Neodiprion lecontei: one gene and its partner. The protein of the gene in region 2 purifies or fractionates together with the protein of the main gene of each other region. This does not show direct contact. Links are inferred from orthologs where the notes say so. Each region holds a gene or a part of one and is shown on either strand. Other genes may lie near its edges.

Region 1 (2,836 bases), on a different chromosome or scaffold from region 2:
ATCGAGGGACATTTTGCGAACCGCTTTTAGCAACGTGTGTCAGGGGGCACAGACTAAGGATTATTTAAATAAGGTTTCCTGGCTCTCTGCCAGGTTTCTCACGTGACGAAAAATATTGGAAAGTGCTGCTGTGTATCCTAATGTCAGCACAGATGCCGGCATTCGGAAACACCATTATCGTTGTCCGGCGCTCCCAAAAACCATAATTTATTTAAAAAGTGAACTTGATGAATTGTGTGACGTTAACTTTAGCGTGGATACAAACTGTTCTGAAAGACGCTTTAAATTTTCGGCACAAGCGACACCTGGACTCGACTGTTGAATTGTATTAAAATAATAACAGCATCCGGCGCGAGTCGGACCGAACCACCGGGACCACCTCTTATTCTTACACCGTGGAATAGAAAGATCTATAATTTGCTTTTGAGGTTATGATGAACATGCGAACTTGTGATAATCAGGTTATGATGTAATCATGAAAGATTGTAAATGAATCAGTTCTGGACAACGATTCGAATATGATCGCTTTTATTTTGTACGACGGTACACCGTATTTATTGCATTATTTATGTGTGATTTTGCTAAGTTTTTCGTGGAGCAACAATCCAAAGGACCGCGTATATTCAGGGCTGATGTAGTTCAGCAGGCTGTAAGGGGTTTCGTAATATTGAGCTTCTCGGTTCAAATCGCTGTCGTATGTCTTATCTACGACGGCAAAACCGAGGGGCGACAGTTCTACGCAATATTTGACTTCTTCCAGCGTCGTCAAGTTTAAATACACACGATTGTTCGTATTCGGTAGTTTGTCTGATAATTTCAATTCTTTGACGTGGCACTTAACATCAGCTATCACCGCTTCTGCCTCAAGTTTCCACTGCTCCTTATCAAATACTTTGTCTTCACTACTTTCCATTTTAGCCTGTGCTACTTATTTCTAGTTTTTCGCCTCTGTACACGAAACAACAAATTTAACCAACAGACTACGTGTATATTAATACGGGTCAGGTTAGGTAGGTGTTTCGGTGTTCCGATTGGTACAGAAATGTGAAGATTTTACTAATTTTTCAAATATTCAAATTACTGAAATAAAATCGGTAATATATTAGTAAAATGAAAAATATCGTATCAACATATGTAAGACATAATCTTGTTGATAAAAAATTAATAAAGGTATAAAACAGTTTATTTTTATTGATATTGCTTTTTTTCAACCCTTATCCTGCATTGTCTTATTTATCTGGTGATGAATAGTTAATAAATTGATCTCTAACAGCGAGCCATTAACAATGAGTAATAACTATGCAATGAAATTAAGGTAAATTTTTTCTTGTAAATCGTTAATTATAAGAGAAAAGATCAGATTTTCTTATTTGAAAAAATACTCTTCAATTTCTTACCGCAAGAGAATTGTATTGAATTATGAATGTACGTTCTAGTCATATTTTTTACTTCACAATAACTATTCAACAAAATGAGAACCTCATAACTGACAGAATGCTTCCTGTACCTTGACATTCATGTATTATCTTACCTGACATCACCAGTTTTTTTTAATGATATACTGCTGAGTCACACCCATGTTCTTACGTCAAACTGTAATTTTGGTCTAACAATAAGATTGAATTGCATAAAATTTAAGACACCTGGTACAACCGAGTGAGTAGATATAGATGGCAATGATGACCGATGAGAAAGAGGTACTTCAGATGTAACGACGATGATATGAGATGAGGTCAGGACAGATTGAAGCTGGGAGATGTGGGATCAGCTGCCAGAGCTGATACTTACAGAAATATTCAGGCACTTAAACAGCAGAGACCGGGCAAATTTGGGAGAGGTCTGCAAATCATGGAAGCATGCCATGTCCTCACCCATTCTTTGGCGCTCAGTGACAGTCCTCATCGATCGTGATCTGCGTGGTGAATTACCACTTGCAAAAGAGCTTGCGGTGGTTACCTTGCGCAATGATAATTTTTTTCAGAATCCTGGCCATTAATATGTCAAAAATCTGCCTACCAATAATATGTTAAAACATCTTCAATTTTCTATCCCAAGGTCAAGTACGGGCAGTACATGCGTCGCCTGGAGTTAGCTTGGTCTAGGCCATATGTAATTCCAAGGGAGACACGGTTTGCACGTAACATTCAGTCAGAAGCGGGTGCAGATTTCCTCAACGTCATTAGAACGAAAGATGTGCAATTGAAAGAGCTCATCCTCGCCGACTGGGTATTCAGTTGCAAGTGGGGTAATCGAGGAAAACTTCTATGCGCGTTAGCTAATTTCTTAGGGTGAGCAATACAAAGAATGAATGACAGAAATAAAAAACAATAAAGCGTCTGTCACGAGACATTTTTTATCATCACAGCTACCAGCACAATCTTGAGACTCTGAACCTATTGAATGCTAATTTAGGAGTCAGTGACGTTTTGAGAATTTTGGGCTCTGCGGTAAGAGCATCTGGGAATCGCCTAGAGTCATTGGATCTTCGAGGTGCTTTCAGGGAATGGCAAGCACCTCACAGCAACCCCAGGTGATTCTTTTTCACCACATAATATAAGAGTTTCATAGATTCCTTAAGTCGGATCTACTTTCTAGGTATCTGCGCTTACTTGGTCGACTACGAGCTTTGGCAACTCTGAAACTAGATTATCCAGCTTTATCGGACGGTGCCCTCAATGCTTTAGCCAGCGCTGTACCCTTGGCTCTTCGCACACTTCATATATCTGTTCGAGACTCTGATTCCAGGCAACACACAATTGCTAACACAGCTTGGCATGAACTTGCCGTTGCATGTCCTAAGCTGACAGTTTCCTACACAATAGGTATGAAATATAAT
Region 2 (4,810 bases):
CGTGTCTGAAACTCGCGGTTACGCCCTCGAGCATATCCGCCGAATCCTGCCTGCATCTATCCACGCGTCGTTTTCTCATTACATATACATATATATTAGAATATGTATGTATGTATGAATTATATATATATATATATAGGGAAAAACTGATGCAAGCATTGGAAATTGATTGGATATACTGGGGGTATAATGTAATAAGATAAGAATCAGGTGGGTTTCAATAATTCATTTTTTGTTCGTAAATATATATAATAGTGTGCGATTTTTCTCACGGTTAGCAAGTAAAAACTTTTTGGCGAGAGACGCGCCTTTCAAGTTTTTTCCACGCGCGGTCGTTAGCAGCGGATAATATGCCTGCGTACTGTAAATTTGGCATGTTAGATATAGTCGTGACGTGTGTACGTGCATGTTGTAAATTTTTTTTTCAAAGAATTGGAAAAAATCTATCACACAATACGCGATTCTGATTCCCGCCTTGCGGGATCCGAGAAGCGAGTTGTCGGGTACAACAGGCGTGCAATTATAGACACACACACGCATTCGTATACACGTACGTAATGCGGTCATTCGCGTTTTCTGCAAATTTCCTGCGCGGACTTTGCGTCGATCTTTGTTTCTTTGTCTCACCCCCGGATCGTACCGCAATCGTTGTTATTGCCAAGTGCGATTGTGTGTATGTGCGATTCTGCGAACGATTCTACGTACGTACGCGAATATACATAGTATGTGTATGCGGTATGGAAATGATGACGTATAAGGTGCCTTGTGTGCCTCGTGACGTAGGCGAAATATCGACGGTTGCCGACGATTTTCTCCATCCTTGCCAATTTCGTTGCGACGCGCTGCTTTCCCTATCCCCCGTGTATTTATAAATATAGAGAGCGACGTTTGCAGATATTTAACGATATATTGATTGTTATTATTAACTATCTTATTATTGTATTAACTGTAATCTGTGCTGTTGAATTATTAATTACACGAAGAGAGAAAGAGGGAGAGAGGGACCAGGAATTTAATTCATACATTCTCGCAAATTTCAAGACAATTTAATATATTTGTAATCCTTTTGATTTGAAAATTTTGTTTCTTTGTACGTATGGCATATAACGCAGTTTAAGTGCTGGGGAAAAATATTTCTCATATTACGTATATTTCGTATATTTCGTATATTTCGTCTGATCCACGGTCTCGTATTACAGGTTTTGTAATTTTTTGTTTTTCCATTCGTCGGCGACTCTTAATAGAAATTATACCGCAAGTAAAAATGAAATCATTATTACCCCAAAACCCTCCAAGAATCTGACCACTATCCACATGATAAAAAAAAACAAGGCTCTGTTTACACACTTCCCATTTTTGCTACACTTGATTATCGAATGTTTTTTCAACAAACTTTTCAACAATATTTACTATAGAATTGGATAGAAGAAAAAACAAAGCTGCTTGTGTTCGGTGAAACAAAGATTTTACCGACAGAGAGAATTTCCCTCCCAATTATTACGCACATACAGCTATGCCAATGCCACGTCGTGTTATTTGGAATTTTTCGAATCGCATGGTTTGTGCCTATTTTTATCTATGTACAATCATCGTACATGTACGCGGTATAGTAAACGTACGTTTAACACGAGTCGGTCTATTCTCCCCACTCGGTTCGGAAACGCCTCTCTTTCTCTCTGTTTCTCTCTCCTAAGCCAACCTCTTCCCTCATCGTCAGTCGCTATATCATCAGATCGGTGAACAGACGGCCGCGTACAGGTCGCCCCCAGAACTGACCTAAAAATGTGAACAGTTATTCAACCCGGCGACGACAGTTTCTTACTTTACTGCCTTTAAATCTGTGTATATTGCTCGGGGTATCGACCGTTCTCGCTGGTTTTTTTCTCACTTTTAGAAACATTCCCTCATTAATCTCCGCGCGATTAATCACTGACATGTGAACAAACGATGACAAAAGAAATTGGTGAAAAATTTGTGTTTTTCTTCAACCGCGAACCGCGTCGCTCGCATCATATTTGCAATGCGAAGGAAACATACGCGCTTAACATATTTTCGCTTATATTTTAATGATGAAATAATTTCACGCAACTGTATATAGGTATAGTTCGTATGTGAAGATTTGAAAAAGAAACGAAGAGTTGAGAGGATAAAAAGAAAGGAAGAATGGCGATAAGATTCTGTGTCCGTGAATGCTGTGTGCGTCGTTATCACGAGTAACATTCAAACGTGAAATGTAAAGTATCGCATTTCTTCTTCACAAGTGGATAATGTAATTTTAATCATCATTATTGTAATTTTCCGTTTTTATACATTACTCGTTTAAATGCCGTGACGTATGTAACTGAATCGTTCGTTCAGTGCCTGACTACAGTGTATTCCCGGACATCCATCGCGCTGTGCAGCGGTAGAAACAGGGATTTGCGTTACTGGTGAATTATTTATCGATCCCGGCTTCGCGCTACAGCGTTGAATAAAATTAATATATTGTTTGGATTTGGATATCGTATCGAGAGTGGTGTCGCATGTGTTATTAAACCTCGTCTCGCCTTCCAGTGCTCATCGTCGTCGTCGTCGTCGTGTCCAATAATAGCGTCGCAAGTGCACGGACCAAGTGTGTGAAATTAGAATAGCATATACAAATATGCGAAATCGAACGACTATTAACGCGGAGACTGTAATAAATGATAATATACTAAACTGATAAAAATCAACACTCCGGTATCGAAGGTGGAAAAATTATCACATCTAGTGTATTTGATTATAATATTTGGTCTTCTCTCTTTACATACGCGATTTAATCCAGCGGCGCCACGGCTCGTTTTTATTGCTGATATATTATACGGCAAATAAATATTTGAGCGTGTTTTACACGTAGTACGTTTTTTTTTGTTTTCAAATGAAACATCTCGAAAGTGGTGGAAACGTAAAAAGGAGAGAAGAAAAATCTTTATTTGCACCAACTGATATCGCTCATATTCTGCGTGCAGACCGCTAAAAATAGAGCCGACTCGCTGACAAAATATTTACCGCGAACAAACAATATTCGTCAAATGTTCACGGGGAAGTAAATTGAACTGTTGATGTATAACGGAGACGAAAAAAAAAATATACATACATTATAAAATAAAATCTTATACAGCCTCTTATACATCACTCACGTGTTGTTGCGTATAAACCATAGAGTGACGAGAAGTGGAAATCTTATTGATAAACTAAAACGGCGAATAATCAAATTTCAACAACTAATCCATAATTCAATATCTACTCGAGGTGAAGAATATTATTCAACTCTTTTCTCTCCGTAATACTATTCTTGCTTTTTAAAATCCTATAAAAATGTTCGTCAGTCTCGAAATATTGTGTTTACACATGTATAATAATTCGTGGTGGTTCCAGTGATATCACTCGGATATAAACGAAGATTTTACAGGCTTACGACGGTTAAGCCAAGACTTTGAGTCCGTAAGATTTAAGGATCGATTTGCATTTTTCTTTTTAAATTCGTGAATGAAATTCACCGTGTGTGTGTATACATATTTGTAACACGTGTAACCAAACCAGTTTATAACGAAGCGGAAATAGGAATATTGGCAAAATACCGTATAACCTTCCTTAAAACGTGAAATAATCCAGTACACTGAACGATATACTTGTACAAAGTTGTTAAAAAAAAAAATAAAACAAACAAATAAATGGCGCCCGCGAACACGTTGAATTGGTCAGAACCGCGCCAGGAATGGCGTTATCCAAAATTCTGTCTGTCGGGTCAAAGGGGCGATAAACCAGCGTCGAAAAGCACGTTGGAAGTCAACGAAAAGGAGGCCGACAGTGCCTACAAGAAGATTTGCAAATTTTTACGAAATCTCGGTGTTAAAAAACGTAAGTTTTTTTTTTCACGCTCTATATATAATGCGCTATAACGCGGGTGATCTTTTTCATCCATGAATAAATTATTATCATACTAGTTCGTGGAGTTGTTTCGAAGAAGATTATAAAATGAGAAAGAAATTCCGACGGAGCTTTGACCCTCGCTCGTGAATGTGAGTGAAACAAGCAAAATGGAGATTTGTTGTTGTCTGCTTTTGAAATATTTCGGTACATCTAGACGTGCCATTAATACATCAAACCACGTGTTCGCATCGCGTGCTTGATATATTTGTCTGTATTTTTGTCTCGCGAATACGAATTTTTATTGTGACGGATAAATTTTAAACCGATTATTGTGTATTATTGTAGACAAATAGTCATGGATGCGTATGAAATGAACAACTTGCACAGAGATGACAAGATGTCGTTACTCCAATATCGTTAATTGCTGCTTAATTTGCTAAAAAGTGCTCTCGTAACTCGCAAATGAATTCTTAACAAATTACGAATGTTGTGGATAATTTTTCATACGGTTGATCAAAGTTTTTTTTTTTTTTATCAAATCCCGAGTCTACACAATTATCGTGATGATTTCTATAACGGTCAAGTTAGAAAAACAAACTGCCAGCGCAAAGTGATCTGCTTAAAACTAGTCGACAAGCTTCCACGTTTACCCAAGTCAAAAATTATTGCTTTCATAAAAGTCAAAAGCCGAGAGCTACTTCGGTTGTAATTTTCTCCCCCTTTTTTTATGTTCTAAAGCTTACGTTTGACTTAAGGCTAGGTGAATCTTTGTGAAACGTAGCTGTTTGTCGTTGAAGTAGGTGTACTGTTCGAACTATATGCTTATAAATATACGCGTTGGCAAGCGAGACGTTTGCTTAACTTCAGCTCCTCGTACGATCTGAATATTCATTTGGTTTTATGCATTAATTTATTGTGC

The links. Proteins that work in one complex are often made in the same cells at the same time.
Region 1: the proteins of glycogen synthase kinase-3 beta (region 2) and GSK3-beta interaction protein purify together in Drosophila melanogaster (affinity purification with mass spectrometry, with the first as the bait; 3 studies listed by BioGRID). This does not show direct contact. The link is inferred for Neodiprion lecontei from reciprocal best matches to the Drosophila melanogaster genes sgg and CG11523.

The regions. Positions count from the first base shown.
Region 1 is NC_060264.1:26,315,685-26,318,520, forward strand, and holds GSK3-beta interaction protein, read right to left. Parts: upstream 1,032-2,836; 5' UTR 914-1,031; coding exon 563-913; 3' UTR 512-562; downstream 1-511. Other genes in the region: F-box only protein 39-like, read left to right, coding at 1,757-1,948, 2,056-2,288, 2,366-2,530, 2,596-2,822.
Region 2 is NC_060265.1:25,392,378-25,397,187, forward strand, and holds the start of glycogen synthase kinase-3 beta, read left to right. Parts: upstream 1-1,718; 5' UTR 1,719-3,692; coding exon 3,693-3,879; intron 3,880-4,810.